Linked DNA regions of Coturnix japonica. The protein of the gene in region 5 purifies or fractionates together with the protein of the main gene of each other region. This does not show direct contact. Links are inferred from orthologs where the notes say so. Each region holds a gene or a part of one and is shown on either strand. Other genes may lie near its edges. The genes, in order: ASH1L, ING2, PWWP2A, SAP30, RBBP4, SINHCAF and JARID2.

Evidence for each region.
Region 1: the proteins of RBBP4 (region 5) and ASH1L purify together in Homo sapiens (affinity purification with mass spectrometry; 3 studies listed by BioGRID and IntAct, with this or other methods). This does not show direct contact. The link is inferred for Coturnix japonica from reciprocal best matches to the Homo sapiens genes RBBP4 and ASH1L.
Region 2: the proteins of RBBP4 (region 5) and ING2 purify together in Homo sapiens (affinity purification with mass spectrometry; 3 studies listed by BioGRID and IntAct, with this or other methods). This does not show direct contact. The link is inferred for Coturnix japonica from reciprocal best matches to the Homo sapiens genes RBBP4 and ING2.
Region 3: the proteins of RBBP4 (region 5) and PWWP2A purify together in Homo sapiens (affinity purification with mass spectrometry; 4 studies listed by BioGRID and IntAct, with this or other methods). This does not show direct contact. The link is inferred for Coturnix japonica from reciprocal best matches to the Homo sapiens genes RBBP4 and PWWP2A.
Region 4: the proteins of RBBP4 (region 5) and SAP30 purify together in Homo sapiens (affinity purification with mass spectrometry; 11 studies listed by BioGRID and IntAct, with this or other methods). This does not show direct contact. The link is inferred for Coturnix japonica from reciprocal best matches to the Homo sapiens genes RBBP4 and SAP30.
Region 6: the proteins of RBBP4 (region 5) and SINHCAF purify together in Homo sapiens (affinity purification with mass spectrometry; 3 studies listed by BioGRID and IntAct, counting the BioPlex papers as one, with this or other methods). This does not show direct contact. The link is inferred for Coturnix japonica from reciprocal best matches to the Homo sapiens genes RBBP4 and SINHCAF.
Region 7: the proteins of RBBP4 (region 5) and JARID2 purify together in Homo sapiens (affinity purification with mass spectrometry; 3 studies listed by BioGRID and IntAct, with this or other methods). This does not show direct contact. The link is inferred for Coturnix japonica from reciprocal best matches to the Homo sapiens genes RBBP4 and JARID2.

What each region holds. Positions count from the first base shown.
Region 1 is NC_029540.1:1,741,180-1,744,679, forward strand, and holds part of ASH1L (histone-lysine N-methyltransferase ASH1L), read right to left. Parts: coding exon 723-3,500; intron 1-722. UniProt on the Homo sapiens protein: Histone methyltransferase specifically trimethylating 'Lys-36' of histone H3 forming H3K36me3. Also monomethylates 'Lys-9' of histone H3 (H3K9me1) in vitro. The physiological significance of the H3K9me1 activity is unclear.
Region 2 is NC_029519.1:35,244,523-35,248,545, reverse strand, and holds the start of ING2 (inhibitor of growth protein 2), read left to right. Parts: upstream 1-1,223; 5' UTR 1,224-1,555; coding exon 1,556-1,754; intron 1,755-3,685; coding exon 3,686-4,023. UniProt on the Homo sapiens protein: Seems to be involved in p53/TP53 activation and p53/TP53-dependent apoptotic pathways, probably by enhancing acetylation of p53/TP53. Component of a mSin3A-like corepressor complex, which is probably involved in deacetylation of nucleosomal histones.
Region 3 is NC_029528.1:9,981,750-9,985,249, forward strand, and holds part of PWWP2A (PWWP domain-containing protein 2A), read left to right. Parts: intron 1-846; coding exon 847-2,527; 3' UTR 2,528-2,541; exon of another isoform or gene 2,542-3,500. UniProt on the Homo sapiens protein: Chromatin-binding protein that acts as an adapter between distinct nucleosome components (H3K36me3 or H2A.Z) and chromatin-modifying complexes, contributing to the regulation of the levels of histone acetylation at actively transcribed genes.
Region 4 is NC_029519.1:38,529,552-38,533,567, forward strand, and holds the start of SAP30 (histone deacetylase complex subunit SAP30), read left to right. Parts: upstream 1-1,216; 5' UTR 1,217-1,542; coding exon 1,543-1,839; intron 1,840-2,538; coding exon 2,539-2,661; intron 2,662-4,016. UniProt on the Homo sapiens protein: Involved in the functional recruitment of the Sin3-histone deacetylase complex (HDAC) to a specific subset of N-CoR corepressor complexes. Capable of transcription repression by N-CoR.
Region 5 is NC_029538.1:4,587,389-4,591,394, forward strand, and holds the start of RBBP4 (histone-binding protein RBBP4), read left to right. Parts: upstream 1-1,206; 5' UTR 1,207-1,341; coding exon 1,342-1,357; intron 1,358-1,817; coding exon 1,818-1,965; intron 1,966-2,533; coding exon 2,534-2,679; intron 2,680-2,908; coding exon 2,909-3,082; intron 3,083-3,266; coding exon 3,267-3,382; intron 3,383-3,547; coding exon 3,548-3,708; intron 3,709-3,832; coding exon 3,833-3,959; intron 3,960-4,006. UniProt on the Homo sapiens protein: Core histone-binding subunit that may target chromatin assembly factors, chromatin remodeling factors and histone deacetylases to their histone substrates in a manner that is regulated by nucleosomal DNA.
Region 6 is NC_029516.1:52,973,298-52,976,797, forward strand, and holds part of SINHCAF (SIN3-HDAC complex-associated factor), read right to left. Parts: intron 1,749-3,500; coding exon 1,649-1,748; intron 918-1,648; coding exon 791-917; intron 1-790. UniProt on the Homo sapiens protein: Subunit of the Sin3 deacetylase complex (Sin3/HDAC), this subunit is important for the repression of genes encoding components of the TGF-beta signaling pathway.
Region 7 is NC_029517.1:67,726,291-67,729,790, reverse strand, and holds part of JARID2 (protein Jumonji), read left to right. Parts: intron 1-321; coding exon 322-414; intron 415-1,078; coding exon 1,079-1,197; intron 1,198-1,337; coding exon 1,338-1,408; intron 1,409-2,208; coding exon 2,209-2,323; intron 2,324-3,500.

The DNA.
Region 1 (3,500 bases), on a different chromosome or scaffold from region 5:
AAACGCTCAGCATTTCTTAGCACAGCAGAATGGAGGTCCTTGAACAGCAAATCCTCTGCTGGTGCCACTGCCATTTCCTGTGCTCAGTCTCAGTTGCATCTAGGGATATATGTAAGATGAGCTTCCTAGCTACGAATAAAACAGTCATTACAATGTTTGGTCTTGGGCATTCCCAGGATCATTTTGCAGCTGTTTGGAGGTACTGCAAAAGGCCTCAAGGATCAAAGCCAAACTACAGGAAAAATTATCAGAACACCTAAAATCGAGTCATGAAAGAAATACGGAACATCTTCTTTAATGGAAAAGTTGCTCACAGTACTAGTACCCATAGCTAGCCTAAAATCAATCCATCAAACTTCAAAACAAGCAGAAAGATGGTTTCTAAAATGATCAGAAATCGTAAGGAAAAAGAAAAGACTTTTGAATGAGAAAACATCCCTAGAAAACTTTGTATGCTTCTACAACTAAGCAATGCAAATCTGGTGGGAAAAGGTACTTAGGCAGCCCTGTACATAGGAGACTTCCCATTAATCTGTGCCAGAAGCTGAGCAGAACAGTGCACTGACACAACAGAAATCCTCCATCAAAACAATGGTAGTCCTAAAATCCAACACAGAAAAAACTTCCACAAAGCCAAATCTATCGCTGCCTGCCTTCCCAATGCAAGCTGCTTTAGAGCTTACCATAAGACTCATGTGGTGATACAATGAGAGCTCCCTTACCTGACAGTGGCTGCAGTGCCTTTTCAATAGAAGGCAATGGTTCCTTTCGGAGCGGTCGATTTAGCGAGCTGTCCTGTGCACTGAAGAGTCCGGGGCTGTCAGTTAGTTTTTTACGTCCATTGGTGCTGGTAGAGTTTGTGACTCTGCAGCTGCCTATTGCACTTGTGAAAAGATTTGTGTGTTCATCGCTGCTGGCCGGCTCGGAGCTGGGAGTAAATCCCCCCAGGGACAGACCTGGGGAGCTGTCTGAGCAGTCTATCTGTAACGGCGTCTGCAACCCCAGTGCTAAGGAATTAGACTCCGAAGGCTCCCTCCGGACCCACTGTTCATCTCTGCTTAGCAATCCCTTTGAAGGCGACAGGTGGGGACAAGACATGTGACATCTGTGTTTCTCCTTATGTTTGTACCTCTCACCGACAGCCTCTTTCCCAAATCTGTAGCGCTTCAAGGACTCCAGGACTGTTCTTGAAGAGCTATTAGCCGTGATGGTGTCCATGGAAACCTGCTGCTGCTCGGATGTACGATGCTCTCTGTGTTTGTGGCGATGCCTGTGCTTGTGTTCCAGCATCCAGCCATAAGCCATCTCGGGTGGAACGCTGGGGTACGTGCTCATGGACAAGAGCGGAGTCCTACTCGTCGTGAGGAAAGCCTCCTGCCGTAAAAGTTTATGCTTTTTCTTGTGGTATTTGGTGGGATTGAGAAGCAAATGGCCTGTATGCATGTAGGAGGGTGGTGGCAGCGGGGTGGTGAAAGAAGGAGAAGGTGGTGGGGGATAAAGAGTCGGAGGGTACCTTCCGTAATAACCTAAGCCTATGGGAGCAGCTGCGAGGGGGGAAGGAGAGTAAGGCATGCCATAGGAGGGATAGAACCCGGTGCTGGAGAGAGGAAAGCTGAGGCTATGCATGAAAGGCATTTCTGCCATAGCCTCCCTCATTTTCGGAGGCCTGCCTCTCTTCTTCTTTAAATCAGGTTTCCTAATGTAGTGCAACGGATCTAAAGGAAAAGTAGGGTGAGTATAGAAACTATTGAAATTTATCCGGAAAATGGTAGGCAGGAGATCTCGGGGGATAAAATGGTGACTTCTGTGGGTTATTCTAATCTCGCTTAATCGACTGATTAACTCTTCCAATTCAGCCAGGAAATCCGGGTCCTGCCTACCTCGAAGCTGAGGATACTTCTTTTTCCTTTTCCGCTTCTGCCTCTTCATTTTGTCATAACTGAGGTAATCGTGACTCCGGCGCTTGCATTTGTGTTTATGCTTTTCTTTGAGATTACTTAAAACCGTGGAAGCTTCGGGTGCGATAAGGGAAACGTGATCAAACGAATGCCTCTTCTTTTTCTGCCCACAAAACTTCTCGGCTCGATCTGAAGTGCTGTTGTTATCTGTTCCTATCCCGCTGTCGCTGGGTATGGTCTCATCGCTGTGAGATTCGCTCACGGGGGAAGGAGTGGCTTCTTTCAGCGATGTCAGCTCACTCAAGTGAGAAGGAGAGTTTGGCAACAACGTGGGTGGAGATAATCTCCTCCTTCCCTTAGCAGCTTTCTTCATTGCGAGTGTCTGAACAACGCTTCCTTGCCTGGAGTGGATGTGCAAGTACGGCACCGAGCTGGGCTCGATGAATCCCGCGTCGCTGCTGACGGGGCTCTGCCCCCCACTGACTGCAGAGGACTGGGAGCAAACAGGGGATGGGAGAATCTCGGAACTATTAGCTGCTGAAGGCAGCAAGTGGGGAAGTACTTGGCCAAATGATGTGCCGGGAGTTTGCTGGGAAGATTTCTCAAGAACTGTCAGACTGGCAGAATTACTAGTTAAAATACCGTTCAGGACAGCTTTGGGTTTCCTTCCCCTCCTTTTTCCTATGTAAATCGTTCCTTTCTTGCTGACGTTAATTTGCTGGCCTAATTTTGAACCGAAAGTGGCGGCGAGTGTCGACACCGTGTTGTGGAGCTTAGATTGCACTTTCCCTTTATTTGGTTCCACCGTACTCGAGAGAATCTGATTCAAAAGTTTCTTTCTCTTCAAAGTTTTCATTTTATTTATTTTCCGAATAATAGTTTTCATTAACTGCCCGTTGTTTCTCTTGGCAACTTTTCTGTCTGAGTCTCCTTCCAAATCACTCATGCTACAAATATTAGGTTTTTGGACATCTTCTGGTCCTCGGAGCTGGTCCTTTCTCTCAAAAAACTCCCCGCTCCGATGCTGATCACTTTCAGATTCTATCTTGTTTGAGCTTTCTGTTCCAACAAAAGGTGCTACAGAAAGAATTGGTGGCTTCATTTTGATCGATGACCTCATCTGCCTTTTAGGCCTCCCCCTCTTTTTAGGAAAAGCTTGTCCCGATAAACTCTGCTTTAGGGAAGGAATTTCCACCTCTGGCTGCAAAATGGGAGGTTCTTGCTCTTCTTTTGACTGCACCGAAAAGACTTTTGACGCTGGGATCTTTAGAGTTCTTTTGGGGGGACCTTCAAGCTCGGGCATCTCCTTGGATTTAGGTCTTCCTCTTTTAGGTTTATACATGTCAGGTAAGAAATCATCCGACATACACAAACTTGAAGGTTGTTTGTGTGCACTGTAGAACTTTGGAGTCTGCTTGTCAGACTCGGTTAGCAGTGCAAGAGACTGTCCACTACCCTCGTTCAGTTTTGGCAGCTGATGCTTAACAAATTCGTGCTCCACGAATGAAGACGACCCTATGTTTTTTAAGAATTTGGCCTGCTCCAAATTACTGTTGGATAGTGCACTGTATGAAATGTTTTTAAAAAGCTCTGACCTTTCTA
Region 2 (4,023 bases), on a different chromosome or scaffold from region 5:
CGCAGCACCAACAGAACGGGGCTCACTCTCAGGCCATCCCGTTTTGTGGCTCAACTTTATCCGCGTCGGCTGCTCCGCCAAGAGTGAAAGGCTGCATCCAAAGCTGTGTGAGGCCAGCGTCAATGCAGGTACATGGTGTGCGCGGAGATGCTGCCCTTATTTTGACAAGTCTAACCCAAATCCTTACCGAGTCTATAACAAATGGCACATCCGTAGCTGGTAACTGTAGGCGCCTAATTACCCCATTTCAGCATACGGAATGGAATTCAATTTGCCGACATCTGTGACAATAGACCTGCGCTCCCTTGTAGTCAGTGGAGACATTTTTAGGGCAAGAATTGCAGTGAGTTACTCCCACCTTTATTTCCCTGCGTGGGAAGGAAAACATCCTCACACGTGACAGTGTTACGAATTCCTTAAGCCAGGCTTCCATCAGGTGACTGGTGTCATTTCAAACGCGTGAACTCAATTATCTCATGGCTTTATTCACTATCCTTCAAGATGTTTTTCATAGCACAGCAGTAATTAACTGTGGCACTAGGTGTTACATCAGCATAGAGTAACTCGGCGTGTTGAGAAATTCTTGAATGCGTCCTGGTAATTAACTCTTAACAGTCTTAATTAATAGCCTGCAGTCTGGATCTACCTGATAGGTGCAGCTGTGTCACGGGGCTATCAGGCTGCAGCACACAGTCTGTAATTAACGCTGTATCTTGCTTTACTCCTACGCTGCATGGCAGGAATCTGTTTCTCAGCTCTGTTTCCTCACAGAACCGCGACCATTCAGACTCATCGCTGCCCTTCACGTTCCGACCCTCCGCTAGCTCTGCCCACCCCCCTGTTTCCGTTCCTTTCCACGCTGCTGACTCGGGCCATTACTCCACACCTCGGCATAGCGCCGTGCCGGGACAGCCGGGCAGCACGAGCCGAGAGCCAAGGCTGAGAGCAGCCGGCTGACGAACGGATCCGCGCCTCCAACGCCCCCACAACCGCCGCCCGCCCACACGCGGCGCTGCCGGGGCACCTGGGGCGATCCTCCGCCTCACGGCCGTCCGTGCGCCCGCCGCCACGGCAGGTGCCCCCGGCAGGGAGCGGCCCCGCCACGCTCCCCGCGGAGTCGGCGCCCGGCCGTCAGCGGGGGGAGGAGCAGGGTGCGTGTGCCTTTAAGGGAGGCTCCGCCCCTGCGCTATATCCCGCCCCCCCGCCCTTCGGGCCAATAGGAGCGCGCGAGAGGGGAAGGCGGGAGAATGCGAACCCCTGGCGGCGCCTCTAGCCGCGCCTTATAAGGGCAGGGCCTCGCGCATGCGCGTAGCCAGGCGACCAGGGGCGGGGGCTCCAAGTGGGTTTCGCTGTGGCGGCGGCCGTTCCGCCGGGCGCTGAGCGGGACCCGAGGCGGGCGGCTCGGTCCGGGTGGGTCGGTCCGGCCCGGCGGTGCGCCGGTCCCGCGGCATTGAGCGGTCCGGCCGCTCGCGGGTAGAGGGGCGGCAGGCGGCAGGAGGCGGCAGAGCGGAGCGGGCCGGGCGGGGGCTGCCCCGTGAGCCGGTGCCGGCGGTGGATGTGCGGCTGGAGCGGCTGCAGCGGGGGGATGATGCTGGCGGGGCCGCAGCTGGTGGCGGGGCCGGCGGCGCCGGGCGGGGAGCGGGCCCGGCTGCTGTCGCTGTACGTGCAGGAATACCTGGAGTGCGTGGAGTCGCTGCCGCTGGACATCCAGCGCAACGTGTCGCTGCTGCGGGAGGTGGACACCCGCTGCCAAGGTGGGTCCGGGGCTCGGCCTCCTCCGCGGGGCAGCGGGAGGGAGGGACCGACCGGAGGGGAGGGGAGGGCGGCGCGGGGTGGGGGGGAGGCGGCCGCCCGCCGCACATGCGCTGGGCGCGGGGCTCCGGGCTGCGGCGTTAGGCCCCGGCCTCCCCGCTCAGCTTGAAATCCGGCGGGGGGTGGAAGGGGAAGCGCCGAGCAGGCAGGGCTGTCGCCTGTGAGCACGAGGTGTGCCCGGGGCTGCGGGGCCGTTACGAGCCCTGTGCTCCGCCCCGCCATGGGGGCCGTGCCCGCCGGGGGCACACGGGGCGGTCAGGATGGAGTGCTGGTGCCTGCAGGATTTGCACAGCTGCTCCGTGCTGACAGCGTTGGAACTCTCTTTTCTCAGCTCCACCAAACTCAAGCAGATGAACTGTAATGGACGCTTGGTCCTGGTCTGTTTTTCTTAGCCTCCTTTTTAAGCAGAGGTTTTAAAGCTGTCTAGCTGGACACGGGTACCTCCTCTAATTAATAAGGGGTTAATAAGGAAGTACTTCAGTGAACCTGTCGCTCTGTCACTACACATTTTCTAGTCTTTCTAGTTGTTCAGACTACAGAGTGCCTTACTCGGCACTTCTCAGAGCAAATATTTTATCCTGTCAAGGCAACAGATGCAGCTGAAAGCTGTAGGAAAGCGAAACCTGTGTTTTCAGTGACAGCTGGAGTACTGGCACTGTGAGTTATTAGATGGGCAGAGCACTGACTTCATCTTCCTCTGGTGAAGGTCTGCAGTAGAACAAAGTGCTGCTGGTTACTGTTTCCATACAGATTTCAGTATTTATAGTAAAAAGTGACCGTTCCCTCTTAAGGTGCTGTTTCAGGATGTCAGCAGGAAAAGAAATCACTGTGAGCAACGCTGAGATAATAACCGTGGCTTCCATTTAGCGCGAGCTTGAATCATTCTAAAACTGCACAAAGCGTTTAATTTAAAAATGAAAGGCAGCCTATAAACAGAGCTGTGCAGGATGAGAGATTGTTCCGTGTCCATTCTGGTTGTGGAATCAGTTGAGTATCGTTCATAAATTCGCTTACCCGTTACAGACCTGTAAGTTAGTTGTGAAGGGATCGGTGCTGTATCGAGCACCCCGTCACATCTCGCTGTCAGCTCCACTGATTTAGTTCCTTCTGCTTCAGCAGTTCCTCTGTCTTTCTTGTGTAGATGTAGTGTCGCTTTCCGTCTGGAAAATAGTATTTTAAAATCCATCAAAAGGGAAAATGTGGAGGACAAGTTCTGCCTCAATGTAACACACAACTGGATGTAACTTCTTGGTACAACCAGCACCACTTGGAGTGGTTTAAGTTGTCTTAGATCCTGATTGTACATCTGTTAATATGTAGCTTCCACTGTGGTACTTTGTTGTAACTAAGGGCTGTTGAAAAGGTAGTGCTAAACCCTCGTGTATAGAAAGGAGGAGGCAGAGGACCTGCATATCCTAATTTTGGATTGTAATGTGATGGTTACACGATTATAGTGAATTCTGAGATTCTTCCTATGGTATGAGAAGCTTTGGTTTGTAGGCCAGGGCTTTGTAACTACTCTAATATGGAACCTCAGCAAAAAAATCCTGCTTTGTCAGATGCTGAGTCAGAATTTGGACCATTCTGGCTTTGGCAGCAGCGTTCACCTTTCTGGGCTTACCCTTCCCTTTATCCAGTGCTCAAAAGCATCTTGCTTTTTCTTAGAACTTGAGAAGCTTTTTATGCAGTGGATTACCACCTTAAACACTGACTTGATGCTCAGGTGTAACTTGAATTAAATACCTGATGTAGCCCACTGGGGTATACTGTAATTAAAACTTGTACTGTTTCACGTCCGTTTGAACGTGCTCAACAAAATACAGATATGTACCTTCTATCTCGTGTAATTATTCGTACTGTGTTTGTTTTGTAGAAGCTTTAAAAGAAATAGACGATGTCTATGAAAAATACAAGTCTGAGAACGATCCCGTTCAGAAGAAACGCCTGCAGCAGCATCTCCAGCGTGCTTTAATCAACAGTCAAGAACTGGGAGATGAAAAAATTCAGATAGTTACTCAGATGCTGGAACTGGTAGAGAACAGAGCCCGACAGATGGAAACTCACTCTCAGTGTTTTCAAGACCTGTCTGAGAACGACAAGCCTCTAGAAAAGGCAAAGATGGAGTCCTGCCAGCCGGAGAGATCTTCACGTAGACCCCGTCGGCAGCGGACCAGTGAAAGCCGCGACCTGTGCCACATAGCAAACGGGATC
Region 3 (3,500 bases), on a different chromosome or scaffold from region 5:
AACATATTGCAGGAGGTATCGGTTACCTGTTGAACAACATGCTACTTCTCTTAGCGTAGGGAAGTTAAACTAACGTATAAGGCTTGGTGGAGTTTCATGTGTGTCAAACAGGGCATCAGAGATCTTAGAACACCTAGTGCTGCCTGCAGAAAAGTAGGCAATGTTTTAAAACAGTTTGTTTGCAGAACAGAGGGGAATCATTTGTACTGTATTGAAATTGTAAGGATGGCTTTGCCAGAAGGAACCCAAACTCAAAGTTCTAGGCTGTAATGCATCAGATGGCCAAGCAGCAATCTTCTGTGGATGTCAAAGTGAAGAATGACAGTGCTGTTAGATGCCAGTATTTACACGTTGTATATTTGGCTGAAATCTAACATAAGTTCAGGCTTTTCTGCTATGCCATAAACTGAAGAATTCTGTAAAAGTTACCCAAAATGCTTTCCTTGCTCATATAAATGGAATTGGTGTGGAAATCTATCTTGTGTACATTTGGAATTGATGGGGGTAACTCGCTGAGTTTGAACTTTGTGTTTATAAGAGTTTTCTAGAAGCATCAATGCTGTCCTAGGCAGTATTTTTGTGTATATTTTTGAGGGTTGTTGTTGACACAATAGAAACACCCATAACTGAAGTTAGTGTATTTTGTGTTGTATGCTGACTTGGTTTTGGTATTTTACTTTTTCAAAGCTTAGCCTAAGACTTGGCTTAATGTTTAAGTTTTGTCCAGAACTCGTGTTATTTGAATGGTAGTTATGTGGATGACTTTTAAAATGCTTCTTTAATAAATACAGCAAGAGATCCCTCAAAACATTTAATGTTTTTTTTGTTGTTGTTGTTCTCTTGAAGGTTTGGACCCCATGGAATCCCTGTGACCATATTTCCTAAAAGGGAATATAAGGATAAACCTGAAGCCATGCAGCTCCAAAGTAAACCATTCCAAGATGAGGCACAGGTGAAGTGTGAATCTAATGCTGCAGTCCCTGATGACTCTTCTCTCACGCAGCCATCAGAACCAAGCTTAGCTAAAAGCCTATGGACTTCTAAACCACCTCCTCTCTTCCATGAGGGAGCGCCATATCCTCCTCCTTTGTTTATCAGGGACACATATAACCAGTCAATACCTCAGCCTCCGCCCCGGAAAATTAAGCGGCCCAAGCGTAAAATGTACAGGGAGGAGCCCACTTCTATTATGAATGCTATCAAACTACGACCCCGCCAGGTCTTATGTGACAAGTGCAAAAACAGTGTTGTTGCAGAAAAAAAGGAAATAAAAAAAGGTGGCAATGCAAGTGACTCTTCAAAATATGAGGATAATAAAAAACGAAGAAACGAGAGCGTGACTACTGTGAATAAAAAACTTAAGACTGACCATAAGGTGGATGGAAAAAGCCAAAACGAAAGCCAGAAAAGGAATGCTGTGGTCAAGGTTTCAAATATTGCCCATGGCAGAAGCAGAGTAGTTAAAGTTACTGCACAAGCAAATACTTCAAAAGCGCAGTTAAATACAAAAAAAGTTCTCCAGAGCAAAAACATGGATCATGCAAAAGCTCGGGAAGTCTTGAAAATGGCCAAAGAAAAGGCACAAAAGAAGCAGAGTGCAACCTCCTCTTCCAAAAATGCACATTCAAAGGTCCATTTCACACGGCGTCTTCAGAACACCAGCTCAGGTTCCCTCCCGCCCCGATTGCGTTTAAAGCCACAAAGATATCGGAATGAAGAAAATGACTCTTCTCTCAAGACAGGACTTGAGAAAATACGGAGTGGCAAGATGGCAACTAAGCCGCAGTCTCGCTGCTCCTCCACCCGCTCAGCAGGTGAGGCCCCTTCAGAAAATCAGAGCCCCTCAAAAGGCCCTGAAGAGGCCAGCAGTGAGGTTCAGGACACAAGTGAAGTGCATGTAACTGTTGATCAGGATGAACACCAGACATTGGGCAAGAGAGGCAGCAAAAGCAATATAACGGTTTACATGACCCTTAATCAAAAGAAATCTGACTCTTCCAGTGCATCAGTTTGTAGTAGTGATAGCACAGATGATTTGAAATCTACCAACTCTGAGTGTAGCTCTACTGAAAGCTTTGATTTTCCTCCAGGCAGCATGCATGCACCTTCCTCCTCCTCCTCCTCTTCGAAGGAAGAGAAAAAGCTCAGTAATTCCTTGAAAATGAAAGTCTTTTCCAAAAAAGTCTCTAAATGTGTTACACCAGATGGCAGGACCATATGTGTAGGGGACATTGTTTGGGCCAAAATTTATGGCTTCCCTTGGTGGCCAGCCCGTATCCTGACCATAACTGTGAGCCGAAAAGATAACGGTCTTTTAGTTCGCCAGGAGGCTTGTATATCATGGTTTGGGTCCCCAACAACGTCTATTCTCGCTCTTTCACAACTATCCCCCTTTTTAGAGAACTTCCAGTCGCGCTTTAATAAGAAGAGAAAGGGTCTTTACCGCAAGGCCGTCACAGAGGCAGCTAAGGCTGCAAAACAGCTGACTCCCGAAGTTCGGGCCTTGCTGACACAGTTTGAAACGTGAACATGGAGAGTAAGGTAGGCGAGAAATCTGGAGGCTCCACGAAATTCATAGCCTAGTTAGAGGACTACCATGAAGGACTTGCCGAGGCAGAAGTTGCAGTCGGTTGGATGCTCTTTTTATACTAAAGTTGTTCCATTTGTAGCGGTTTCATGGAAGTTAAACAAATTGAACATGCAATCAAAATTAGCCTAAAGTGAGAACTTCAGTATTTTTCCAAGTGAGAATTTTTTTTAAAGAAAAAAAACAACTCCTCAAACACCCAACGCATAGGAGCCATAGCCTCAGCTGAAAGGCAGCTTATTTGCAGGGAATTTTTTAGTAGTTTCTACCCAGTATGTACCTAGTTGCTGTGTGGCAAAGGGTTGACACAAGGGGTGAAAGTAGTAGCTGTGATATTTTATTTTTTTCTTTTCTTAGGTGGCCCATCAGGGAAGTGTAGAAACGTAAGCCTTGTCTAAATGGTCTTTAAACATGATTTCAAATACTCTCTGATGTATTTAGTCTGGCCTGTGCCAATTGGCTCAATGCACGCGTGAACGTCTTAGAGGCGTGCCCCATTCCACGAAGGCCAGTTTAAATGGCATTAGGAGACGTGCTGAAGTTTTTAAGGAAGAAAAATTCACAAAATTAAAGACCAGATTAAATGGGGTTTTATCTTAGTGACCACTTCTTAAACACTCAGCCTTTCTATGCACATAGGGGCACAAATATTAACACTTCAGGGTCTGAGAAGCTGAGAGTGATGCCTGTAGCTCTAAGACAAAGCTGAGCAGTTGCTCAGTGTTTGGGATCAAGGGCTGTTAATGCTGCATAGGTGTGAATCATAACTTCTGGTCTTTCTTCCTGAAGAAGTCTTTCAGGCCATTTGCCTGGAGTTTTAGATTAAGAGAGGCTTTGTTTTGAATGTGTAAATAATTGATTGATGAGATTTGGTCAGATTTTCTCCTGACTGGTTGTTCCTAAATTCTTAGGA
Region 4 (4,016 bases), on a different chromosome or scaffold from region 5:
TCTGAGACATAGTAGTCTCTACATTTTAACAGACCACAGCAAACATAACAGACTGTGTATTTTATGCTCAGCATAAGGTCAAAACCATCTGATGAAATGAAACGGATCACAAAAGACACAGTGTAAGCTGGTAGAAATTGCTACTTGTGACCCTGATTTCTGCTGGAAACTTCCTGGAACTCACACTTCTTCCTATATCTTCTTTAGGTAAGGTCTCCTACTGTTGTGTGGCTTTGTTTGTTATTATTAACATCATTATAATCTTTGAAAGGGTCGAATCACAAGGAACTTGAGCAGCGAGTTAAACGTCCCTTTTCTGAGCTGACACAGTGGCAGGGTGTGGAACTGAACCCAGCTGGGCTGTAACAAAGGAGGGTTCGGTATTTTTTCCAGCTCTTAACCCAATTTCTCCCTTTAATCACAAAACGTGCCCTCATGCATAACTGCTGTCTGTCACTGTACGCTCAGCCTAACTCCACTCGCTGGATCCTTCAGTCGCAACTGCTGGGAGCGTAAGCGGGACCTACCCTCGTTCTCTAATGCCAGGTTACGCAACCGGATTAAAAAGCCATCTGCAGCACAAACCCAAACTGCAGCATAATCGCACTCCCTGGCTCAGGCAGTTGTTGGGCTTACACGGGATCTGCGTCTCCTCAAATCGCTCGCTGACCTCCCGGTTACTCTCCTGATTCCACACTCGCACAGTAATGGATACGGCCGCATATTTCCGCGGTTACCTCACGGCGCTCGGGCCCGTTAGCGAATTTAAGGGCTCAAAAAGGAGCGCAAAGCCGCCTTTTTGCGCTCTGAACGCACTCGGACGAAAATAGGTCAGAGGCGGCCCCACAGCGGCTGAGCTATTACAGGCTGTGCGTTAACGCGGCTCTCGTGTAGCTTTCTTAGAGCTCGAAATATCTCAATACAGGCAGCGTTTGATCCGGACACAACGCGGAGCCTCAGAATCCACTTCCCGCCCCCGGTAGCGGCACGGCCGCATTTCAAATCCCAACGGCCGCGCCGACGGGGAGGAGCGAAGGCGGCGTCCTACCAGCCGGCCCGGGCCGACACCGCCACATGCCGGCGGGGGGCGGGCGGAGCCGCGGCACCGAGCTGCAACAAGCTGCGGTGTGTGCGGAGCGGAGCGCCCCGTCCGCCGCGCAGCTCGGGAGCCGTAGTTTCCCGGCCTCGCCGCCCGCAGCGCAGAGCGGCGGGACGAACTGCGTTTCCCGGAGCGCAACGCGGCTCGGCCTTGAGCAGGCGCAGTGCTGAGGGGCGGGGCGGCGGGCAGGTTGCTGTTGTTGCATAGGAAACAGCTGAAGAGTCTCCACATGACAGAGGGGGAAGGAGGAAGCGGGGCGGCCCGTGGGGCGCCGCCAGCGCGCCGGTAGCCGCGGGGCTCGGAGCGAGGGCGCCCGTCGCGCCGCGCGTGTTCCCTCGCGGTCCGGGCTGAGCGCGGCCGTAGAACCCTCCGGGCCCGAGTCCCCTCGCCGGGGGGAAGCGGTGGCGGCGCTCGCGGGGCTTCCCGCCGGCCCGACGCGGGGCATGAACGGTTTCGCCCCCGAGGAGCTGCCCCAACGCGGGGCCGACCCCGCCGTCGCCGCCGCGGGCGCGGTGAGCGGTGCGGGCTCCGGAGCGGAGGTGCCGGCGGGGTCGGCGCCCCCGGGGCTGGCCGTGGGAGCCGCGGGCGCGGCCGGGGCGGGCGGCCCCGGGGCCGGGCAGCTGTGCTGCCTGCGGGAGGAGGGAGAGCGCTGCGGCCGCGCCGCCGGCAACGCCAGCTTCAGCAAGAGGATCCAGAAGAGCATCTCGCAGAAGAAGGTGAAGATCGAGCTGGACAAGAGCGTAAGTCTTACGGCAGCGGGCAGCGGCTCGGGGGCGGCTTTTAAAGTTCTTTTTTGGCGTGTTTTCTTTTGTTTGCGGGTTGTTTTTTTTTTTTGTCTTTGCCGGCGGCGGGGAAGCGCCGTTTCCCAGTCCCTCCTTTCCCGCAGCGCTGCCGCCGCCCCGTCCCGCCTGGAGCCCGGCGCTGTCGGTGCCCCACCCGGCGGCCGTGGGCGCGGGGCTCCGTGTGGGGAGGGCTCGGCGCGGCCGCACGGTGCGGCCCTGTGCAGGAGAGCTGGGGAATGAGGGGAGCGGCCCGCGTGTCGCTTGACCTTGCGGAGGTAAAGCCGTGCGGATGGGGAGGAGGTGGCATTTTGCCTCCCGCGGGATGTTCCGGAGGCTGCCCGCCTTCCGTTCGTGCGTGTTTGTTTGCCGATCCCCGAGTTGCTGCGAGCGGTTGGAGGGAGGGTTGTGTGCGCGCTTGTCCCCGCTGCGCGACGTTCTCTGCCAGTCAACCGGTAGCCGCTTCCCCCCGTCCTCCCGCCGAGTCGGTGGAGGTAACATAACAATGCCTCCGTGCAGCGCTATCAGGCAGAGGGGCTTCCCCACCTCGCTCCGCGTGAGCGAGGCTGCCTAAGGAATGTCTCTGTAGATGCCTCTGTGCTGCCAGGCTGGGAGGAGCTTGCACGGGTTTGATTGAAAGATGCGGTCTTACTCTTGTAGGCGAGACACCTTTATATCTGCGACTTCCACAAAAACTTAATTCAGAGTGTGAGAAATAGAAGGAAGAGAAAAGGCAGTGATGACGATGGTGACTCACCAGTGCAAGACATCGACACTCCAGAGGTAGCCAACGGTTTTTCTAATAGTTACGTTAAGTCTGTTCCTGCTTCAGCCGTGCCTGCTTTTGGGGATGGCTCCTGATGTGCTTGGCTTTTAATATGACAAAAGCAAACTGGATTCCAGGGTGTATTTTCTCTATTAGATGTGCAGAATCTCAGGCAGCTGCTGTTTTGAACTTTCCTTACAGTTTTGGCTCCAGGAGCCTGCTAGAAGTTGTTTTGCTATGAAAATCAGTCTTTGTAAAGGTTGACAGGACACACCGGACTTGGGCTATAACTGCTTCTCTGTCACATCCCTCCAATCCTTTCCTTCCATGTGAAGCACGTTGCAGATGGTGCCTGTAGTTACCACTTAGTGTAGCTGGAAGTTTCTCAGTGAGGGAGCTCACTGGTTTTAGTCCTTCTTGGGGATAGAGATGCTGAGGCAGTTTTGCTGAGGAGGAGCTGAAATAAGAAGGCATTTCTGCTTGCCTTCCTTATTGTAGGCCAGTGAAACACCACCCGTTTTGGAAGTGAACTACTTTCAAACTTTTTTCATAGTATAATGTGAATGCACTTAAAGCTTTCTTCTTCCTACATGTGTGCTGGATTATTTCTGTTACAGTTTGTGTGTTAATCGTTGAGCACAGCCTACCCGGCCTCAACCAAGAGATTTATCCAGTGTTTGTCAGAAGGTGCTTGAGGATTGTGAACTTATCCTTAAGGTCAGCGTCAGCAATGTCAGTGATGAAACTTCATGCAGGAATCTCTGCCTGGAGGCACACGGCTCAAGCCTGAAGGCTTTGACTATAAGAGGATTTTAGGAGATTGGAAGTAGTTTGATGCTGGGCTGTGGTTTTTGTCAGCTAAAAACATTGGATGGCATCTCTGAAAGCTCTCTAAACCTGCTGTTCTTTGTGGCTTTTGGTAGCTGTCTGGCACAGTGGCAACTGCAGCTTTTGCCTGTTTATTTGCTCAGACAGGAATAATAAAGCATGACACAACTGATGGATATCCCTAGAACAGAAGAAAGGAAATGTATTTTCAGTGGTAGTGGTGCAGGGAAGTAGGTAGTTCTGGAGAGTTTCAGCATGCAGTTCCTGTGTGGTGTTGGTGTGCTATAGATGCCCACTGGCCCCTTGATTTTTGAACTGCCATCCAGTTTACTGCTGACCACCTGTAGGGCATTCCCATTTCCAGAAGTAGATGTTAGGAGTGATTTGCAGTGACTTCCACAGTGCTGCTGTCTTGAGTACGAGGGCATGCCATCCTCTTAACACGTAAGGCAGGGTTGTATCAAGTCTGACCGGGTCACCAGGAGTGCACTGGCACTGTTGTTGCCTTAAATATTGCATAGCTGAGGCTGCTGGATGACTTTAA
Region 5 (4,006 bases):
GGACAGGAGAGCTGCTTCCAGCTGGGGCTCTCAGCAGCAGCCGATGGGGAGCAGCTGCACACAGGCTGTGCATGAAAACAAGATTAGAAGCACAGAGTTCAGTGCTGTGCTGCTCACACTGCCGGCACACAGCAGTGACACCCAGCACCGCACCGACAGCGAGCACTGACAGTGTGCAATGCACCAACAGTGTGCACTGAGAGCATGCACCAACAGTGTGCACTGACAGTGTGCAATGCACCAACAGTGTGCACCGAGAGCATGCACCAACAGTGTGCCCTTCAGCCTCTGCAGGGAGGAACCCTGATCCTTCCGTGTGAATCACCCTCCAGCAATAAAATACTGCATCTACGAGGACATAATTCTACCAGCTCTACAGTAAGTTACACGGGTAACTTTGGCTTTGGAGCTTCACTGCACAGGGTACACAGCCTGCTGTGTGTCATGGCACATGATGGGGCACAGCACATTGTTATGGGGCACAGCACCTTATGGGGCACAGCACGTTATGGGGCACAGCACGTTGTGATGGGGCACAGCATGTCGTTATGGGGCACAGCACATTATTATGGGGCACAGCACATTATTATGGGGCACAGCACATCGTTATGGAGCACTTCAATCCCACCCAGTGGATCCCACCAGTCGGTTCCACACCGACTCTCCCTCGCAAACACATCAGACCGGCTGCAGCGCCCCATTAACTTCAGGGTAATTATTTCCCGACATCCCACGTGAGTCCACCGTGGCTTTTCCCATAGGAGCAGCTCTCACTGCCGGCCATGGGACGATCCCACACGGGATCTCCGGGTTCTGTTCGCAGATCAGCACCGAGACCTGCGAGCTGGGAAACGCTCCTGGGAGGGAATAAGGCCGAAAGAGCACAGGGCTGAGTGTGAACGGAGCCACAAACCGGGAACGGGGCGGGTCACAGAGACCCATTAAGCGACCGGTAACCGGTAGGACAGAGCTCAGGGGCAGCTCGGGGCCGGCTCACGGTGCCATCCTGCAGACCCCCCCCCCCCCCGCGCAGACCGCACTCACCGGGGCACTGTCCCTTTAAGAGCCGCCCACCCGCTCCGTCCGGAAATGGCTCCGCGGAAATGGCCGCCCTCACACGTGACCGCCGAGCGCGCTCTCCTGCCCCTCGTTCCCGCCCCTTGCCTCTCTCCGATTGGCGGAAGCCTCCCGGCGGCGGGCGGGGATTGGTCAGTGTTGGCGCGCGAAGGGGTGCGCGGCGCGGGAGCGGCAGGGAGCGGGGGCAGGAAACAATAGAGCCGCGTCCGGAGCGGAGCCAGCAGCGCCCGCCTCGCGCAGCGCAGCCTCATCCCGCCGCCCACAATGGCGGACAAGGAAGGTAAGGCCCGGCGGCGCGGCCTGGGCGCTGCGGCCTTCACTCGGCTCCGAGAGGCCTCAGGCCTCACTGCCCGCCCCCCCCGCCTCCATCGGCCGGCGCCGTGCGCAGTGATGGCGGGGGGGCTCCGGCAGGGGGCGCTGGGCCGTGCCCTGGGGCGGGGGGCGTCCCGTGCGGCCTGCGGGGCGCTGGGGGAAACAGCAGGGACCGGCCTGTTACAACGGGTTACAACGGGTCGCTACGTTGACACTGCGAGGGGCTGCGGGCGGGGGGGGCGGCGTGTCCCGCAGCAACGTTGGGTGATAAACAGCTGCGTGTGGTGGGGCCCGTTATTGAGTGAGGGCCCCGTTATTGAGTGCTCCATTATTGAGTGCCCCGTTATTGAGTGCCCACCCATCTCTGTGTGTGTTGTGCCTGTCCTGATAAACGCTAACATCCCGCATTGCTTTCATGAACCCTTCAGCAGCCTTTGATGACGCAGTGGAAGAACGTGTGATCAACGAGGAGTATAAGATATGGAAGAAGAACACACCCTTCTTATATGACTTGGTAATGACCCACGCTCTGGAGTGGCCCAGCCTGACTGCGCAGTGGCTCCCCGATGTGACGAGGTGAGGGTGCGTTCTGGATGTACTCCTTGCAGAAGTAAGGCTCCGTGTGACTCCTTGTCTCGTCTGCAAACCCCAGAGACACCTTTAATGTGGGGAAAGTGCTGCTTATCACCAAGAAAATGCTTCACGTCTTTGATTTTGATGCTTTTCTTCTTCCAGCTTCGTTCTCCTTTTTGAAATGCAAAGCCCTCCTCCCCACAGAGAACTAAATATAGTTTCACTTTAAGCACTCTTTCATCCTAATCTTCCACAACATTCTGCTTCCAAAGAGTGTATATGCATCTCCAACTGTGCGCTGGGGAGGCTGTTAGAGTCTCTTAAAGGAAGGCAGGGGAACTGCTGGAGGTATCTGGGGGTAGGTGCTGTTATGCTCCAAGAATTGTGATTTGAGATCTTGAGTTGGGAGGAGAGATTCTTCTGGAGGAAGAAATACAGTGTCAGAGCAGGAGAGCAATGGTAGTTTCTAAGGATGTTACAGGTGTCGGAAGCTGTTAGCAGTACATACCATATTCAGCTCAATGTTTGTGTAAACTCCATGTGTTTCTCACCTGAGTTTCTTCTCTCACAGGCCTGAGGGCAAGGATTTCAGCATTCACCGGTTGGTCCTGGGGACTCACACTTCAGATGAACAAAATCATCTCGTGATAGCGAGTGTGCAGCTGCCTAATGATGATGCACAGTTTGATGCCTCACACTACGATAGTGAGAAAGGAGGTAAGGGAGCAAAGATGTCAATCAGGTGGGGCTTAAACTCTGTTTTTCCTCCACTTCTTAATGGTTGAATCCATTTTTCTGCATGCTAAAAGTTCTTAACAATCTAATATTAGCTTTTCTTCTTGCCAGAAGCCTGGATTATGCAATCTGTATTGTGATCTTTGGGCTTCTTAGAGTTATTTGTAAGCAAGACAATGCTTACTTATGTTCTTTATTTTTTCTCCCACAGAGTTTGGAGGCTTTGGGTCTGTTAGCGGAAAAATTGAAATTGAAATCAAGATAAACCATGAGGGAGAAGTGAACAGAGCTCGTTACATGCCACAGAACCCATGCATCATTGCTACAAAGACTCCATCCAGCGATGTCCTCGTCTTCGATTACACCAAACATCCTTCTAAACCAGGTGGTTGGAGCTTTGTCACCTTCATGCTTCAGAGCTACAAAAATAACCACAACAGCCTTTTCTTAAGGTTGATGGGGTGCAAAAGAGGCTGAAAAGTTTTGTGGGTTGCATAGCGTGTAACTTTAATCCTTGATGTGCTGATAGTGATTCTAAGCATCGGAGTTCTTACACTGCCTTTTTACAGACCCTTCTGGAGAGTGTAACCCTGATCTGCGTCTTCGTGGACACCAGAAAGAAGGCTACGGGCTGTCGTGGAACCCAAACCTGAGTGGGCATTTGCTTAGTGCTTCTGATGATCACGTGAGTGCTTTTAAGTGTAGCTGGGGTGCGATCTGCACTTTGTGTCCCTTGACAAAGGTCAGGAATGTTTCTGTGTTTGAGGGGATGGAGGTGGGGGAGTGCAGAGAATTCCTGTCTAAAGATACAATTTTTATTCGTTTTGGTTTTCCCTTTTTTTTTTTAAAGACCATTTGCTTGTGGGATATAAGTGCTGTTCCAAAAGAAGGTAAAGTGGTGGATGCAAAGACCATCTTCACAGGGCATACAGCTGTAGTGGAAGATGTCTCCTGGCACCTGCTGCACGAATCTCTTTTTGGATCTGTTGCTGATGATCAGAAGCTCATGATGTAAGCGGGGTGCTTTCTTTAGAGGCTGAACATCTCAGTCCATTTTGCCTTCCCAGCTGCTCCCTGGTCTGCCCGTAAGGTGGGGTGTAAGCCTTCATTCCAGGTCTGTTCCTTCTGCTTACAGATGGGATACGCGGTCAAACAACACCTCCAAACCCAGCCATTCCGTGGATGCTCACACAGCTGAAGTCAACTGCCTTTCTTTCAATCCCTACAGTGAGTTTATCCTGGCTACAGGATCAGCTGATAAGGTAAATGTTTGTATTGAATTTGGAGTAGGAGTTGGTGTGTCATGTTG
Region 6 (3,500 bases), on a different chromosome or scaffold from region 5:
CCACTGGTTCTTCTGAGAGCAGTTCCTTCAAGTCAGGTAGAGTGATGGAAAACAGAACATCAAGACAGCAACAGTTAGGAAGCTAAAAAGTTTGCTTTAGTGAAAAAAACCTAGATTGCTGTTATATATTTAGAGCGTTACTGACAGATGGCTTTGTGGGAAAGATTTGAATCCATATCTACTTGAGAGTCTCAAGTGCTAGTGGAAAGAAATCACTGAGACTGGCAGAAGGTATAAGGAGACTGTACAGAGGAACGTGGCAGGAACTTACAGAGTGTGTGTGTACACTGGGGGGGAGGGCAGAACGTAGACTAAATAGAAAGCCTAGACTGAAAACATAGATTGAAGAAAAAGACTGATAGTGGTATCAGCAGAGCAGCCTTTCTTGAGAAGAGAGGGCTGAAAACTATCATAGCACGTTAATGAGAACAGTGGGACATCTCTTTCAACTTCAGTGAGGGCTTTGCCCAAGAAGTTTTTCCAAGAGATGTGTCATTTAAGTGTGAGATACAAGCTGCAATTGCCTACTCCTTCCAACCCTGCTTCTAACCTCTCCTTGCCACTTCTCCACCTGACACAACCAACCCCCTGCAGACATTCATACTGCACACAAAGTCCCCCTTTCATTCCACCCCCTCCCCAGACACAATAAGAGTTGACATGAACAGAGAAAACCTAACTGTGTGAGAGCACAACTGAACCCAGGAGGTGACTCAGTGTGGCCACTCAGCACTAAGTTATTTTAGGGGAAGCCAAAGTTTATAATCAAAATCTGTTTGAATCTACTTACTGTGTCGCTTGAATTCTTTTTGCAGCTTGCTGATTTGATTGCTCTTTATTCTGCTTCCAGAGAGAGTTTTCATTTTCTTTGGTTTCAGTGTTGTTTTCAGACTGGGTCCAGCCCTGGCATCTACCACCTACAACACAGAAAAATACACACACAGTGATCCTGAATTATGCCCAGATACGCCTTTGTCAAGATGTCTGCACCGATTTAGCTGAAGGTACTCAAAGAATCATTATGGTTGAAAAAGACCTCTAAGATCACCCAGTCTAACACCAGCCCATCCCCACCATGCCCACTGACCACATCCATATGGTTACTGAACAATTCCAGGTACAGTTGAATGCACCACCTCCCTTGGCAGCCTGATCTTCTTACCAGCCCTAGGCCCAAATTAATTAGATCAAAACAGAACATATGAACAGCAGTAGCTGCACGATATTAGTCTTTAATTACCTGATGAAACCACATTGATTTGTGTGCTGCACAGACTAAGTCACCTTGCTTGTTCAAGCTATTAAGAAAAATAAAAGTGACCAGTCTTGGACAGAGGCCAGATCTGTAATGCTTTGAGTGTCATAAGAGACTTCTGGACAAAGTTATGAATTGAGAAAACAAGGAATTACAAGGTAGGTTAGTCTGTGACTCCATCCATGGCTTGCAAAATCACAGTTCACACATAAGTCCAACAAAGACAAGAAATATTCCAGGCAAGCTTTAGAAACACCGGGGTTAGGGAGGGAAAGCACATGGAAAATAGCAACCCCTAAACTCTCTCCAGTGTCTCCCCTCTGATGTAGGATGGACTGAAGTAGGAGACGAGTCAGTTTGGGGGCAGGGAAGAAATAAGATAAATCAACTAACGTGATTCCAGTTTTTTTTGGATCCCGCTGGCAATTTTTTCCATCTTTTCACCAAAAGGACGCAGGCATTACAAATGTCTCCTGAGCGGGCCTCGTGGAGCCTGGGAAAAGTGAAAAGCAAAGATCACTTTATAGCAATTAATCAAAACAATCATGCAATAACAGTGTCAGAAGCACAAGGGGAAGGGTTCTCAAGTTATGATTTGCAGGCATGGTGATTAATCTGGGGGGCTCCATCAGTGCTATTCGAAGACCAGGCCTCACTTTCAGAAAAACATTATTTCATGTAGAAATAGAAGGCACTGTAATTTGCCACCAAAAGGAGGCTAAAGAACCCTAGCCTCGTTACCTTCTGTTGTTTATACATTGTCTGCCTTGTTTTCTTTTAAACCACAGCTTCAGTGACTGGATTGATCTGACCAGAGAGGAAGAGTGAATAGTCCTATTCCTTGGGCATAAGCAGGGAACAAAACTCAGATCTGACAAAAGCGTTTTCAGCTCTCAGCTTTCTCACAGTGCTTCAAGGATGAGTAACAAACACCATCCAACACATCGCTGCACACTTGCAGGACAGTTTCAGAATCCACAGCACTGGATTCTGAAGCAGCAAAACTTGCTTCCTTCAGAAACCATTTCTACAGCTAATCCACACTAGAGGAATTCACACCAAAGGGGGACGCACAGTCAGGTTTTCCAGCTGTTTAAATGGGAGGACTTTGAAGCATGTATAGATGAATGGGGCAGGCTCAGATAAGCCCTTATTTGTTTAGAGTTAAGACTGCATTTTTCACCTTGGCAAACATATTTCAGATAGCGCGAGACCAAAAGCCCCAGTATTCTGCAAGCTTCTTTACTGCTGTTTATATAAAAAGCAATGGGCCTTCACGGACTTTCCACTGCCAAGGACAGCAGCCAAGAATTACGAGGGCAAAAACTGTCAGCATCAGATTTATGAACAAAAATCCACGGTCAATACAAAGCACTATAAAACCATACATGAAACGTGTGTTTCTAGAAAGGGGGGCAGGGAAGAAAAAGGAAAGAGACGAGGTAAAGACTCACAAAGACTACAAAGATTTTCACACACGAAGTTAAATGCTTGAGACAAACACCGTGTGTGTTTTATCAGCTCTTAACAGTGGATGCAAGCTCAACTTTGGCCTAAGATTTTGATGAGAGTCCAGTGAGGCTGGAAGGACAAAAGCTGAAGATAACAACAATGTATTTTTCCTGGGAAAATAATTTCGAGGAAAGCTACAAGAGCAGAAGCTGTTTATTTTAGTGAGGTAATCAGAAGAATTCGCCTCTGACAGCGCACTGAGGCATATTTAGACAAAACTCTCCACGTTCCAAAAAGTTAGAAGGCCACAGCAGCTGGTACAAGAAAGCACTGCTATTTAGCTTTTGTCACTGATACTTCCAAACAACATGAGGCACAGCTTTGATTAATTAGAAAGCTGATGAATTAATTCTTGCTCTTCATCAGAACAGTCTCCAATGTGAACTTTTAATAACGTATCAATAAGCCTTACCAGAACAACAGCACCGATAGCCAAAACAAGGTACAAGCTTTATCTAATGTCCTCGAAGCTCCAGAATAACCAAAAGCCTCCACAGATCCGTGCTGCCTTTCACCTCGTGCAGGGATTTACAACTCTAAGGTTCATGACTAAGTCACTACACCATGGTGGGAAGGAATTGGCCAGAGCCTTCAATGCTGTCATCTACTGCAGCTCACACGAGCAGCCACAACAGGCTGATAACCCAGCAACGTCACACACAGCAGCAGAGGAACCAGCCCCGCAATGGGACAGCCCCAAGGAGGCTGGGGCTTTCCCCCCATACCACCTACC
Region 7 (3,500 bases), on a different chromosome or scaffold from region 5:
GGTCATGTATCCGGCTGCTGTAGTTTTCAAACACAGAATGCTGTGTTGGATGAAGCAGTGCACGTGGCTTTCTGTGAACGCTCAGCTGGTCTTTGAAAGGGTTGGTTTGACCGTACTGTTTTGAGAGGTGAAATGTCATTTTAAGGTGATGAAACTTCTCTAAGGTTTGAGAAATCTAATAAGAAAATGTCACATGCTTCCCGAAGATATTTTCTTCATTTGTGATTAGAAGTTTAAGCATGTAAGGAAAAGAGTTAGGCCAGGGGAGATGGGGACACCTAGTTTTATTTTCACTTTTAATTTTATTTTCTATTTCCACAGGGTAGGTCCGTTTCTTTAACAACCTTCTACCGAACAGCAAGAAACATCATGAACATGTGCTTCACAAAGGAGCCTACAGTAGCTGAAGTAGAGGTGAGACCAGCACAAGGGGTAGTAAATGTTTTGTGTTGTGGAGGTGGAGCATAGAGGTTCATCTTTATTGATGTTTAGAAACTACCATTAGTGGTTTAATGTGGGGGATGTCTGATGTGGGGAAAAAAAATAATTCATTATGTGTAGGTGTGATAGTGATTCTTCCCTTCGGTTTTTTAAACGTTTTTCATAAAGGTATTGAACTGCGAGAAAGACTTTTTAGTGTACTTTGCAATGAAGCACAGGAGCAAGTGGGGCTAATTCCTGTCTTCACAATCCACCAGTGCTTTTTAGTATTTGCAATCATGGAATCATTAAGGTTGGAAAAGAACTCCAAGATCATCTAGTCCAGCTGTCAATCCATCCTCACCATGCCCACTAAACCACATCCCTCAGTGCCACATCTACACATTTCTTGAACATCTCCAGGGATGGTGATTCCTCCACTTCTCTGGGCAGCTCGTTCCAATGCTTGTCTCCTTCTGAGACAAATTTTTTCCTAATATCCAACATGAACCTGTCCTGGCACAACTTGAGGCCATTACCTCTTGTCCTTATTTCTAAACGGTGTTTTATGTTGAGTTACACTGAGGTGATTTCTGGGACTTAAATTTTAATGGGAAGTACCTTGTTCAAAACCCATCACCACTTTCTCTCCCAACAGCAAGAATATTGGCGGTTAGTGGAACAGAAAGATAGCCATGTAGCAGTGCATTGTGGAAAAGTAGATACCAACACCCATGGGAGCGGCTTTCCTGTGGGGAAATCTGAACCATTTTCTAGGTAAGGTCACCGAATCTGTGCCGCCTGCCCCATTTGCGTAACCAGGTGTGGGAACTTGCTGCCAGTGGGGCAGCACAGCGCTGGCTTGACAGCAGGGGCATGGTGCTGACATATGTTTCCCTCTGGGTCCCTTTTAACAGGCATGGGTGGAACCTCACAGTCCTTCCTAATAATACAGGATCCATCCTGCGACATCTTGGTGCTGTGCCTGGTAAGTAGGATTCTTTTTCTGTGTTTGTCATGTGTGCCCTCTAAATGTGGTAGTGTAGTCATCAAAGCCTTCTCTCGCTCTGTCTAGTCCTTTTGTTGAGTAGCTGCCTAGGTAGAGATGCAGTTGTAAGTAGCAGCTCATACCTGTGGGATGGAAATCAGGTTTTAGATATAGACTTAATGAATGGTTAAGACCATGCACCTGGGAGGAGCTGGTTGTGCTTGCAGCATCACTGTCTGTTGTTGTCAGTACATCAGTGTTCTTGTTTTGTGTCAGGGTGATGAAAGACATACAGCTTTCTTGGTGCAAACCTGGACAAATGTTGGGTAAAGCTGCACACAGGTTTTTTTTTTGTAAATGAATTGTTGCAAGTGTCACAAGCTCCAGCCGCATCTGTGTCATTAGAAACATTAGCTGAAAGCAAAATCCAGTCACCTGGATTTTGTGCCTGGACCGTGCCAGTTAGGAAAGAGGATTTATGTTAACGTGTATATATGCACTGACACTGAGAGGCAGTCTTCTGTGATCAATAGCATTGAGCTTGGGTTATGAATATTTGTAAATAAACCAAAGGATAAAATTTTTTGCAGCTCTTAGAAAATAAATATGTTCATCTGCTAGATATTTCAGTAGTGGGAAATGCTGGTGTCATTAAATAAATTATTCTTTGTGAATTATTCACTCTGATAGGCAGACTGCAAAAAGCTCACAGGTAGAAGAATTGCAACTGAAATGCCCTCAAACTGTCTTTTAATTAGAAATTGCGATTACTCAAAACTCATTTTCAATCTCTGTTTCAGGAGTGACAATTCCTTGGCTAAATATTGGCATGGTCTTTTCTACCTCATGCTGGTCTCGAGACCAAAATCACCTTCCATACATTGACTACTTACACACTGGTGCTGATTGCATTTGGTAGGTATTACCGTGTTTGTTTTCATGCTCACTGCAGTGGCTCTCTGTAGGCTGGTGTTAACAGCAGTTTTTCTAGTACCTTTTGTGTGAATGAATTAACATTCAACTAAACTTCTACCTAGAAGTTTAGTCTTCACAATGGCAGGTCTAATGAAAAACATAGTATAAACTAAGCATTAAAAACCTTCTTTCTGGGAAGAAAAGTTTTGGTTTATCTTCTGTGATCTGTTCTGAGATACTTAGCAATGAACTGTTTCTGCTTGAGATAGGGTAGGAAGTTTTCATGAGATGGAAACCAGCACAACAGCTGGTCAGGGCAGGCTTCCCTTAGGCTGACAGAGAGATACTTGTCCAAGCTTGCTCCGTATTATCATTGGGAAAGTGACTGAATTCATACTCTGACTAAATAGCCACCATTTTCTTATTTTACATATCAACTCTGTATCTACCAGATTCCTAATATTTTCTATTGTGATTTTTTTCTTTCTTTATCATATGATAATCATTTTTAATTATGATTCCACACATCGTTCTAGTGCCTAGATGCTGGCCATTAGTACTCAGGTGTTAGCTACGTTTCATATGTTGGAGACACTTAAAACAAATGGACTTAGCACTGAGCTTACAAATGGTTATGAACATGGTGATCCTTTCCGAATTCAATGCGTATGTGCTGCTACAGATGATGATGAATTAAATTACAATGGAAGTACAACAGCTGATGGAGGAATTAGTGGAAGCAGGTGCTGCCGGCATGTCACGTGCCTTTCTGTGACATTCCGATGATAATGGTGTTATTACCCAAGAGGATCATCAGTGAGAACAGTGAACGATAAGCAGTATAACTGTTTCTTGACCTCAGAAAATCAATTAAATGGAGAACAAAAGTTACTGAAATGCTGACTCCCACCGAAGGTGAGAAGCTGATTGCCTTTCAACAGTTTCAGCAGTTCTCGAGAACCCCGAACAATGGGAGCCTTCGGCTCATTGAGCAATGTGACAGGAGAAGGTCTGGAAGGCCTGAAGTGTATGTGCTGCCCTGCTGCCACACTGCTTGCAGAGTCAGCAAAGGCCTTTGCATCCAGGAGTCCCCATGGAGTGGCAATGTCAGCCATTCTTTGTTCATGCGCTAAGTGTGTACTTGTTCACCTTTAATGCCTGTGCTTCTCAGCTGGTG